Cricetulus griseus: one gene and its partner. The protein of the gene in region 1 interacts with the protein of each later gene in a pairwise test. Links are inferred from orthologs where the notes say so. Each region holds a gene or a part of one and is shown on either strand. Other genes may lie near its edges.

Region 1 (6,564 bases):
GACAGGTGATGGGTATCAAGATTACAGACAAGCAACTCATATTCATCTAGAACTTTACTCACTGATGCCCATTTTAAATGTCTGGTTGTATTAAGGAAAGGAAAGATGTGGGCACTTATCTTTTGAGATTAAAAATACAGAGTTTACAATTCTATGCATTCCCTGTGGCTAAGCCCACTAATCAACAAAGACAAGGGAGTGTCCATTGTAAAAAATTGGGATTGTGCCCTGAGCAAATTGAGAACATGGGAAGAGGGGGGAGGAAGCTACGAGAGTGAGAAGGGAAGAAAAGGAAGGATGCAGAGGTCACAAGGAAGCAGAAATTTTGAGTCAGGTGTAGATTAGAAGAAAGGACATATGACAGGTAGGATTTTAGTTGGGGGTGGGGTGGTAGAGGAGGAAGGGAGGGAGAAGGGAACTGGGATCGTCATGTAATTCAATCTTGTTTGTAATTCAAATATATAAAAATAAATAAATAATTGGGATTGTAAAACAGAGGCTTCCTGAAAACAAACCGATAAACACAAACACACACACACACACACACACACACTCACACACACACTCACACACACACACACACACACACACACACACACACACACACACACACACGACGCCCCCCTCCAAGGAATGCACAATAGGAAAATGTAATCTAATGGCCATAAGATAAAGGTCTAAAGAATTCCTTAAATATTCCGGCTTTGGGAAATAGGGAGAACCTGATGACTCTATGCCACAGGAAAGGACTCTGGATATAGAATTACTATCCAGAAAAAAACTGCCCGCCCCCCAGGCTCCCAGAACTTTGGGTCTCAACAAAGATCTCCTTCGTGGGCTAAGGCTCCAACCACCTCTCCCCTTCAAAAGCATTTAACATACCTGGGCCAGAGTCCCACCTCTCAAGTTAATCCCAGTTAGAAACTGGCCAGGATTGCTGGTTATGCTTAGACCCCTGACCCCCATACTACATAGGGGTCGGAACTAACCAGACTGTCAATCCACTCAAGGAGGGGGAAGAGGAAGGAGAGAAATGATGTAATATAATTAAATTTCAATTAAAAATAAAATTTAAAGGTGTGTGTGTGTGTGTGTGTGTGTGTGTGTGTAGACATGCACAGTACATGCAGCTACCCATGGCGGCTAGAAATTGTTGATCCCCTGGGGCTGGCCATTGCAGCAGGTGGTTATAAGCCACCTGATGTGTGTGCTGGGAACTAACTCTAGTCTTCTGACAGAGCCACAAACACACTCAACTTCTGAGCCATCTGTCTAGCCTCTCCTAACATTTTTTATTGATACATATTTTGTTCTTCAACAGCCATTCCCAACTAACTGAATCCAAAAAGTGAACCCTGAAATTCCCCCCAAACTGTATGAACTAGTACTGTAAATCAACACAATCATCGGTCACTGCAGAGATAACTGTTTTATGTATCAGGAGCTAGTGGTCAGACAGAGAAGTTCTTTCTCATATCAAGACAGCACCGTGTTAACTAAAACCAAGTTCTTTTTCATCTGTACTGTAATTTAGGCTTTCTTATGTAATAGAAGCTAAGAGTAGGCCCCGGCATGGTGGCACACGCCTTTAATCCTGGCATTCTGGAGGCAGGAAACAAGGACTGACCTGAAATTCCTACTGTCCCTGCCTCAGCCACTGAAGTGAGGTACTGAGTGCATGTTACAATAATAGAAACTCGCTATTGCTCGTTCTGTAAAACTAAATTATTGCATTTCTGTAGTATTTCAATTTTGGGGCATGCATGTGCATCCGTGTGGCTAGATGTGTATTCATACGCCCATATGTTTTCAGGTGGACAAACGATGGCTCTGACATTAAAAGATTGCTGCTATTCTAAAATGTCCACACGAAAACCCATTAACTCGTTAGGCTCAGCTCCGGCAGAAGTCACTAAGAGCGCTTAAATCTATTTCTCCTTCCAATGCTAGGAAAACGAGCAATCACACATATGTTACGCTTTCTTACAATGCCACAGTACTATTCTAGGTGGGTTAGCAAGATGCCTAGACGGATCCAGAAGAAAAACTGCAAAGCAGCAGAAATCCAGAAGGTGCCTGCTCTAGGGCGGAGCTCTCGGGAGAGCGGCTCTCCACCGCGAGCTTCCGCCTCTGCTTGCTCTAGTTCCGGTCTCCGGCCTCCGGCCTCTCTCGTGTCTGTCTGCTCGCTTTCTCCGGCGCTAAGGCGGGCCGGAACTTTTGTCATCCGGAACCGGTGTACGCAATTCCGTGTTGCGGACCGGCGTCTAGGCGACGACGGCGCTGTTCTCTTCCTCCGGCGGCGGTCGCTGCGGAGCTCAGCCCAGCCAGCCTGGTTGAGGAGCGCGCCCGGCTGGACTGGGTCTATGGTGGCTCCGTGGGCCGCTCTGCTGGCTGGTGCTTTTGTATCAGGGCCCGCAGTATTCCATGGCAGGGAACTTCTGGCAGAGCTCCCACTAGTGAGTGAGCTTCCGTTTGCTCCCGCGGGACTGGTTCTGGGGCCCGGGGAGGACTGGGCCTGCGACTCCCTAGGGCCTGCGGATCTTGGAGTGTGGGCGAGCCCTCCCGGGGAAGCTAGGCGAGCTTGTTGGCGGGCCTCGGAGCCTCGGGGGCTGGGTGAGCCTGAAGGATGGGCGAGAGGACAGGTGTCCGACGGAAGACTGAGGCTGTTTCAGTTTGTATTTGGGGGTTAGCTGTGAGTGGGATGATGTGGGCACAGGCACGTTGTAGCCTGTTCGGACGGGTATGGGTTGCTTTTGCTAGGTCTTGTTGAGAGCAAAGACGTTACAATCTCTTGTCATTCGCCTTACTTGCAGATCTAATATTGCCTAGATTGTCGATCCGGTTTTTGGTTTGTTGGTTTGTTTGCCCCTGCCTCTTCCTCCTGAGTCGTGCGCCACCACTTCCCGGCTTCTCAGTAGACGTTTATGCCCCTAGAATATAGAGAGCGCAGTTGCTCTCAACATGTATGCATTTTCATTCATTAGCCAGTGTCTTCTGTTTTGCGTTAAAAGTGTGTATTTCTCAGGTTTTATCTATTCCTTGAACCATTTAAATGAGTGAATTCGGGTGCCTGCCTGTCAGTGGTCATGGAAGGGCTAAAGTAATATTTGAGACATTTCTCTCTAAATGCATTGGTTAAACGTGCAGCGAGGTTGTGTGATCTGGCTAAGCTTTGAGCAGGTTTTTCACTGAATACTTAAAAACTGAACGGGACTTAATACAAGACATCGTAGCTTAAGTAAATCTTAGGGTGAAGAAACTAACGAAATTTTAGTTCTGTGAATTGGATTGGCTCCTTTTCCTCTTTACCCCAAGAACGGGGAAGAAGGAAACAGTGAGTTTGTAAACCTGTTTCTGGAAAGCATGTTTTCTCTTGCTACAAAGTGATTTTAGGGAGATGAGCTGCTCGTGGAGCATCACTATGCGACATAGTATTTCTGGTTGTTTACAGTCACTGAGATGTTTTAGATGAAGTTGAAATACAGAAGGAGATGACTCAAAAAGGCGGAATTAAGTTGGAGCCTGTAATTCTGGCACTTGGACTGCCTTCATCGTCTGTCTCAGTGACGTAATACTGGAACAGACAGTAAGTCTTTGGGTATAGTAAGAATCTATCTTTGAGGAAGGGCCTTTGTATCAAGGGTTTCGAGAACCAGTGTGCTGGCTCTTTGTACAAATGACAGTATGAAAGAAGTCTGGAAAAAAGTAGAGAGCCTTTGAAAAACATCAAGAGACATATCCTCCCCCCCCCCCCCCCGCGCGCGCCCAAGTCCTGGAACTAGCTCTTGTAGACAAGACTTGTCTCTAACTCACAGAGATCCGCCTGCCTCTGTCTCCAGAGTGCTGGGATTAAAGCCAATTCTTTGCCCTCAAGTTCTCCTATTTTTTCCTGCTGAGACTGTAGGTGAGCTGCTGAAAAGCTAGAGAAATCATATGAGTGACTCCCCTGAGAGTTTAAAATGACATCCTTATTTAGTGACCAGACTGAATGAGAGTCAAACACAGCAAACTGACACAGAATTATTTGAAGATAGTCAGCAAAACAGTCAACAAGTAGTGTCAAGAACCAAAGGGATTAAATTGGTTTGTCGACAAGACTGTGAAACTTGAGGGATGATAGTGAAAATTCTGGTTGAAAAAAAAAATCTCATTAGAAAAATATTTATTTTCCTCTGAGGCAGAATCTGCTTAAAATGGGTGAACATGTGTTGAAGGACTCAAGATTTTCATTGTTTTATATAATTTACTCAATATTTTAGAGACCTATTTAGAAGAATTAATGCTAAGAGTGTGTGTGTGTGTGTGTGTGTGTGTGTGTGTGTGTGTGTGTGTGTGTGAGTGAGTGTGTGTGTGTGTGTGTGTGTGTGTGTGTGTGTGTGTGTGTGTATTTCAGAGATAGGCTAGTGCTTTGTCTACCTCTGATATATTTCTATCCAGACATTGTCTTTTACGGATGTACCTCCAAAGAAGAAGAAGCTGGGTATGTTACCACATGCCTTTAAACCTAGCAGTGATGGGGGTGAGGTGTTGTTGGCAGGTGGATCTCTGAATGTGAAGCCAGCCTGGTCTACAGAAGTGAGTTCCAGGACAGCCATGACTACAAGAGAAACCCTGTCTCAGAGGAGAAAAAAAGGAATGTACTTCTTAGAATAGATCAGCTTGTTAAATCTTAAAAAGTTTTAGGTGCTTTTGCTTGTTGGCGTTCTACACTGTGTTTTATTATCTTCTTTACTTTTTCCAGTTTGCAGTGGATTTTGGATAAACAAGATCTGTTGAAAGAGCGCCAGAAGGACTTAAAATTTCTCTCAGAAGAAGAGTATTGGAAGTTACAAATATTTTTTACAAATGGTACAATTTTAAGTTGGTTGAAGTAGTATAGTATAGCTGGTCACCTTTGAGACTTGTTTGTGGTAATTTTCAATGGATTATTGCAGTCTATAGTTAATGTTCTTATTTATACATTTATCGTTTTAGTGTGCTTGGTAACACTTTTTGCACTTTATGTGTTGGAAGCACAGTGTTAGCTAATGTCCTTGGGTATTTCTAGTGCGGCCTCTTTTAAGGTTGGTTAAGACAAAGTAAAAATAAGTAATTCTTTAAATTGGCATCCTGTAGTTGTCATTTTTACCTTATAATTTTACATTAGGAAGAAGGGGGTTTAAATCGGGGTGGTGGTGGTGAATGCCTTTAATCCCAGAACTTGGGAGGCAGAGGCAGGTGGATCTCTGTGAGTTCAAGACCAGTATGGTCTATAAGAGCTAGTTCCAGGACAGCCTCCAAAGCCATAAAGAAACCCTGTCTCTAAAAACAAAAAACAAAAAACAAAAAACAAAAAAAAAAGAAGGGGGTTTAGTCAGGAGACCTTTACTCTGCTGGGATAGCTTTGTTGCCTGGTATTTTTTAAAATAAATTTTATTTTTTTTTATGTATGGGTATTTTGCCTGCATGTGTATCTGTGCACTATATGTTATATAGTGACAAGGAGGCTTGGATCCCTAGGGACTGGAGTTACAAATGATTGTGAGCCACCATGTGGGTGCTGGGAATGGAACTTGGGTCTTCTGCAAGAGTTAGGACTTTTTATGAAAATAATCTGAAAAGTATTAAAAGGAATATTTGATAGTCAACTTCCTTATAGCAAGATAACTTGTAGGTGGTTTCTATTTCTTGGTTTTGCATGTTGCTATATTTGCAAGTCTTAGGCAGCTGTGGATCAGAGGGTGTCAGAGAGTGCCTAGCTATGAGTGGACATAATTCTAACATGTAGAAATTACTGTTAAAAGTTAATGTTATTAATGTTACTATAATGGTGCCAGGTGAAACATTAAAATTTTATTATTTCCCTTTTAGTCATCCAAGCATTAGGTGAACATCTTAAATTAAGACAACAGGTTATTGCTACTGCTACAGTCTATTTCAAGAGGTTCTATGCCAGGTATGGCTGTTTTATTTTTTTGTTAGCCTGTTTGAGGTTCTCTTCTGATTTCCATATGCCATATATAAGTAAGTCACTTGATTGCTATAGAATTATGATTGCCTGATTACCCAGTGTGTCTTCTAAATGGACATAATTTAACTCTTGTCTAATCATGTTTTAGGTATTCTCTGAAAAGTATAGATCCTGTATTAATGGCTCCTACATGTGTGTTTCTGGCATCCAAAGTAGAGGTATAAAACAATTTTTTGCTCTTCATCAACCTATAATATTATGTACAGTTAATCTTTTTTTATATTGCCTTTGTATGGATAATCTTAAGGGGTAATTTATACAAGATAATACATACATCTTGCAAGTAATTTTATATATTTAATAAATATGGCACTTACTATGTATCAGATGCTTTAATGAGACTATAAGTTTTTGTTTAATCCTATAACTGTAGAGTATATAGCAATAGGGTAAAAGGGCCTTGACCTTGACTTGATCTGAGACCAGAGCCAGGGAGAGAACACCTTGACTCTTAAATAACCTGAGACCAAGATTAAGAAAAAGAATCCACCAGTCCCTGAGCTTGCACAAAATCAGGCCACAAAAATCCCACCAATTCCATACTACCCTGGAAT
Region 2 (5,942 bases), about 110 Mb from region 1:
GGAGAGATGGCTCAGCGGTTAAGAGCACTGGCTGCTCTTTCAGAGGACACAGGTTCAATTCCCAGCACCCACATGGCAGCTCACAGCTGTCTGTTACTTCAGTTTCAGGGGATCTAACACCTTCACACCAATACACATAAAATAAAGTTAAATAAACTATTTTTTAAAAAAAGAAAGACAAGCACCATCACCCACCACAAGAGCCAGTGCACACACACACTTTTATTATTATTTTTTTAAGACTAAATCTTACTATGTTTCCCAGGTTCTGCTTGGACTCCTGGGCTAAAGCAATCCTCCTGCTTCAGCTTGCCTAGCCCTGGGACTAGAGGTACATGTCACTAAGACTTGGGTCCCATTTTAAAAATGCAGAAACCAGGGTTCAAGGACAAACAGCAGCAGTAAGTGAAACAGCTAGGATTCTCGCCCACACCCCTGGCAGCCTTGCCTGCTGTCAGGAGCCATACCAGAATCACTGTTGACTGCTGCAAATGTTAATCATTAAATAATAGTCCGCCTCCTCCCGCATTAGCTGTTTTTTTATTAATAGGGGTGAGGCCCAAAGGACTTCAGGGTGTTCATAGAAAATGGTTGTTGATACCTTCCAAATCTACACTATGTATAACAGCTGCAGCAGCTTCAGAACAAGGTGAGGGGTCAGGCTGAAAGTTACAACAGCGCGTCCTTTCAGAGGGTGGTGGTGAGAGGCGGTCTGGCCAGGCAGGTCGTTTAACTGTGGGCCAGCATGGCTTTAGACTGAGCATCCGGAAATGGGACAAGGAGAGCCAGCAGAGTCACAGTGGTCTTTGAAACAGTGGTAGCTGTGAGTTAATGCTTCCATCATGATATCTTTAAAACTCAAAAGATGGGTGATTTAGAAGTAAATTTTAGTTGGATCTGAAGACTGCCCCAGGAAGCAATGAACCTTTGACACAGTGTGCTGGGGAGGAACACTTACAGCCTGAGCCGATGGGACCTCGGCAGCCAGCAGTGCAGGTGATAGGCTGTGTGGACCAAACAAAAGTGAATCATGGCGACACTGGTCCGGCAGCATTCAGAACAGTTCTGTCTGAGACTCCACACCCAATGTTACCGCCATGTTGGACAGGTCACGATGTAGGAGCTCACTGTAACTTAACCCTCTGTGGCTTGGAGAGTCTAGCTAAGGTGGCTGAGTTGGTAAAGCCGGGATGGATATATGAGACAGGTCACCAATGTGATAAAGGACAAAGACTGCCTCCTGTACTCTGAGGGATCAGCTTCCACCAGCCTCCTCATTCCCCAGGGGAAGGAAACCTGAGGTCCTCCTAGAGCACTGGGGCTGGGAGCATTTTGATTCATCTCGGTTTCTAGAGCCCAGGCGACCCCTTGACTCCCTCCACCCCATGTAGTCAGCCTTCCTTCCACTCTGCTCTCCTTTGGGCATGGTGTCTAGAACATGTCTTGGGCGTGCCCAGGGCTAGTATATACTCCAGTTCCCTAGGCCACAGTTCTATGAAGATGCTGCCTTTTTTTGAGACAGAGTCTCCTGTATCCCAGGCTGTCCTTGAACTTCTGTATGTGTACACGTGGAAGCCAGCATCAGTATCTGGTGTCATCCTCAATAGCTGCTCAGTTTACCTTTTGAAATAGGTCTCACACAAAACTTAGAGCCTGTTGATTGAACTACACTGGCTGGCTCTGTTTCTCCAGGGCTGGGGTTAGAGGTGTGTACTGCCAACCCAGTGCACACCCGTGTGTGAGTTCGTGCATGTGTGTGAGTGGGTGCGTGTGCTTATGCATGAGAGAGAGAGAGAGAGAGAGAGAGAGAGAGAGAGAGAGAGAGAGTGTGTGCTTGTTTTTTCAAGAGCTTTATAAATTACCTTTTTTTTTCTATGCAGGCAATTGAACACCTCATAAATGTTAGGCAAGTGTTCTGTTACTTAGCTATGTCCTTGTAGCTGGAATTTCTTTCCAGCCTAGTCCCACAGCCCCAAATAAGCACACAGAGATGTATTAATTATAAACTGTTTGGCCAATGGCTCAGACTTCTTATTTGCTAGCTCTCTGTTATTAACCCATTTCTATTCATCTAAGTATTTCCACGTGGTTTTTTTTTACCAGAGAAGGGTCCAGACCTGTTACTCCTTCCTTGGCTACATGGTGCCTCCTTGCGGCCTCTGTCTGCCTCCTCTTCCCCAGCATTCTCCTTGTCTGGTAGCCCCACCTATACTTCCTGCCTGGCTACTGGCCAATCAGTGTTTTATTCATCAACCAATAAGATAAACATATATACAGAAAGACATCCCCATCAGATCCCCAGCCCTGTGAATTACTTTAATAAAATTATAAAACCCGAAGTGACATCCATCAGTAAATATTCATTTCTCCTTGTGACTCAGGACCACCTGAGGGTTTGCTGACCATGTGCCTCTGGTATTTCCTGGGTCTGTTGTGGGAATGAGCATCTTGGCTGTGGCTTAGCCGGCCTCTGATGGCTGCAATCACCAGCCCTGGGGTGGCTGGGATACAGCTGTCATACCACAGCAATCTAGCATGGTAGATCCTCTGAGATGGTTTAGGTGTTGTCTGAGTATTTCTTCAGAAGTCCACATGCTGAAAGCTTGGTGTCCAGTGTGGCTGAGGTCGTTCCTTCCAGAGAGGTGCCTAGCAGAAGGCAAGTCATGAGGGTGAAGTGGTTTTCAGAAGAACAGGTTTTTGTTTAGTTTTTTTGGTTGGTTGGTATTTCTTTTGAGACAGGGTATCTATGTGTAGTTGTGACTGTCTTAGGATTTGCTCTGTAAATCAGGCAACCTCAGAGATCCACCTGCCTTTGCCTCCCGAGTGCTGGGATTAGAGGTGTGTGCCACCACCTCTCGGCCTAATTATTCTTAATAATAAAAACTCTTGAGCCCGGCAGTGGTGGCTCACACCTTTGATCCCAGCACTCGGGAGGCAGGAGCAGATGGATCTCTGTGAGTTGAGGCCAGTCTGGACTACAGATCAAGTTCCAGGACAGCCAAGGCTATTACACAGAGAAATAATATCTCAAAAAAACAAGAAAAAACAACAACAAAAAACAACTTGGAGTCAGCTTTCGGGGGTGAAAGCTGAAAGATCAGAGAAGCAGAGCGGCCAACCACTAGAGAGTTCTTACCACTACCAGTGCTCAGACCAAAAGGGCAATCCTGTCTCTACAAATGCTCAGATTGCCCAAACTCCTGTCTCCTCCTGCCTTATATTCCTCTCTCTGCCCAGCCATATTGCTCCTAGTTCTACCTCCTTAGTGCTAGGATTAAAGAAGTGTCACTCCTAGTGCTGAGATCACCTTTGTATGAGTTCTGTTTCTCTTTTAGGCAAATTCAGTGTCGTGTAGCCCAGGGTGGCCTTGAACTCACAGAGATCTGTCTGCCTCTGTCTCCCCGAGTGCTGGGATTAAAGGTATGTGCCACCACACCTGGCCCCTATGGCTAACTCGTGGTTTAGCTCTGCACTCTGATCTTCAGGCAATCTTTATTTTTTATAGCCGAAATAAAATATCACCTCAGGACTGGTTCACTTTCTCTTTTTCCACCATGCTGTGATGCAGCCAGGATACTGATGCTAATTTCTTAGGCCTTTAGAATCTCTTTTCTTTAAAATGTACCCAGCCTTAGCCAGTCATGGTAGCATACATGTAATCCCAGCACTTGGAATGTGAAGGCAAGAGGATCAGAAGTTCAAAGGTATCCTTCACTACATACCACTTTTAGGCCAACCTGGGCTATGGAGCCTTGTCACTGTCTCCCCCTGTGTCCCTCTCCCACACGCTGGAATTAGAGACATGCTAGCCTCTAGCGTGTTGTTATATGTTACTATAACACCAGAAAACTCTGTGACTATAATTTCTTCCAAGTGCTAGGCTCAGAACTAATATGCTATCCTTTCAGCCATAATCATTTGAGCAAAGTGAATCATAAGGAATAGAGACTTATATCCCATTCCACTTGGTAGGAACTGCACACACATAAGCAAAGGCTGAAAGCGAAGCCAGTTTTGCAGTTCATCTCAGTCAGTGAAGCCAAGTATTTTGCCCACCTGTTTGCAGGGAGAACATGGGCAGATGTCAAGAGAATTATAAATGAGCTTGTTTCCTTTTTCCTCTGTAGACAGCAGTGGAGTCAGAGGTTTCCATTTAGATCACCAACTCCAGCTTCTCCCCATGGACACATCCGAGAAAACAGAAGTGGTTCTCCTGGCCTGTGGTTCTTTTAACCCCATCACCAACATGCACCTCAGGCTGTTTGAGCTGGGCAAGGACTACATGAATGCAACAGGTAGGAGCAGTAACCCAGGTAACTTAGGGCTAGAGACAAAGCTGGGCAGTGGTGATGGTGCACGCCTTTAACACTAGCACTCAGGAGGCAAAGGCAGGTGGATCTCTGAGAGCTGAAGCCAGACTGGTCTACAGAGCAAGTTCTAGGACAGCCAGGGCTACAACAGAGAAACCCTGCCTTCAAAATACAAAAAACAAATGAAACAAAACAAAACAAAAAAAGACTAGAGATGCACTTGACTGAGTGTGAACGCCTTATTCTGGACACAAGCAAGTTGTTCTGTTTCCTGGTATAGAGATTTAGCCAAAAGCTAATGGAGCCAGTAAGGTGGCTCCTCAGGGAAAAGTGCTTGTTGCAAAGTATGTGGCAAGAAGGTACAACTAAAGCTGGGTGTGGTGTTGCATGTCCTTAATCTCTGTGAGTTCCATACCAGCGTGGTCTGCATAGCAAGTTCCTGGACAGCCAGGACTACACAGAGAGACCCTGTCTCAGGGGAAGAAAGAGAAAGAGAAAGAGGAGGTGTGCATGGATCAGAAGATGGCGGGGCTGAGCAGACACTGTCAGGGGAGTGCTTGATTGGTGTTGTCAAGCCCCTAGGTGAGGAAGGACAATCCCTGCATCTGTTCTAGGTGAACAATGCAAATTGAGTCAGGCTCTTAACAAAGAATTCAGCACTTCTGGTTGGAATTCTGACCAACAAGAATTTTAAGTGTAAGCTGTGTGGGTGAACCCAGAGTGAGTGTGTTAGGGGTGTAGGGCTTTAGTTGGAGAAGGTGAAATTTGTGAAGGTTGTTAACAGTGTGCATGTGCTCAACATTTAGGATTGTACAGTTAAAATACTTCAAATGATAACTTTTGTAATATGTTATTACAGGTTCTTTTCTACATTAAAAACTCTATTTACTTACATGGGGTCAGTGCGGTATTGTGTGTGACAGGGTGTGGATGAGGAGGAGGTCAGTTGGAGAAGTCTGGTCTCTCCTTTCACCATGAGTGTCCTGAGGATTGAACTCTGATCATCAGTCTGACAGCACACTCCTTTATCAATGGAGCCGTCTTGCCAAACCCTTACCACAGTTTCAATTTAGCTACTAAATTTGACTCTTTGTTTAAAAAGGAGGAGTGGCTGGGCGGTGGTGGCACATGCCTTTAATCCCAGCACTCAGGAGGTAGAGACAGGCGGATCTCTGTGAGTTCGAGACCAGCTTGGTCTATAAGAGCTAGTTCCAGGACAGCCTTCAAAGACACAGAGAAACCTTGTCTCGAAAAACCAAAAAAAAAAAAAAAAAAAGGGGAGGGGGAGGGATTGTAACTAGGAGCTAATAAATTGTTATAATTTCTGCCCATAAAATCTGATTTGTTATCCCTCATATCAACCCAACTGTGTATCCAGGAAAATACAGGGTTATCAAAGGCATAATTTCTCCTGTTGGCGATGCGTACAAGAAGAAAGGGCTCATCCCTGCCCACCACCGAATCATCATGGCAGAACTTGCCACCAAGAACTCGCACTGGCTGGAAGTGGACACATGGGAAAGTCTCCAGAAGGAGTGGGTGGAGACTGTGAAGGTGCTCAGGTAACAGTGGCACAGTCTATACTGTTGGTTCTAGGGATCCTTCCCATTGCCATGTATTTTTTTCAGTTCC

The links. The genes of interacting proteins can lie anywhere in the genome.
Region 2: the proteins of Ccnc (region 1) and Nmnat1 interact in binary tests that used the Homo sapiens proteins (3 or more experiments, as listed by UniProt). The two-hybrid records come from large-scale screens. The link is inferred for Cricetulus griseus from reciprocal best matches to the Homo sapiens genes CCNC and NMNAT1.

What each region holds. Positions count from the first base shown.
Region 1 is NC_048595.1:119,719,737-119,726,300, reverse strand, and holds the start of Ccnc (cyclin-C), read left to right. Parts: upstream 1-2,258; 5' UTR 2,259-2,424; coding exon 2,425-2,456; intron 2,457-3,451; exon of another isoform or gene 3,452-3,586; intron 3,587-4,741; coding exon 4,742-4,848; intron 4,849-5,850; coding exon 5,851-5,935; intron 5,936-6,098; coding exon 6,099-6,168; intron 6,169-6,564. UniProt on the Homo sapiens protein: Component of the Mediator complex, a coactivator involved in regulated gene transcription of nearly all RNA polymerase II-dependent genes.
Region 2 is NC_048595.1:6,906,137-6,912,078, forward strand, and holds part of Nmnat1 (nicotinamide/nicotinic acid mononucleotide adenylyltransferase 1), read left to right. Parts: intron 1-265; coding exon 266-331; intron 332-4,127; coding exon 4,128-4,295; intron 4,296-5,688; coding exon 5,689-5,872; intron 5,873-5,942.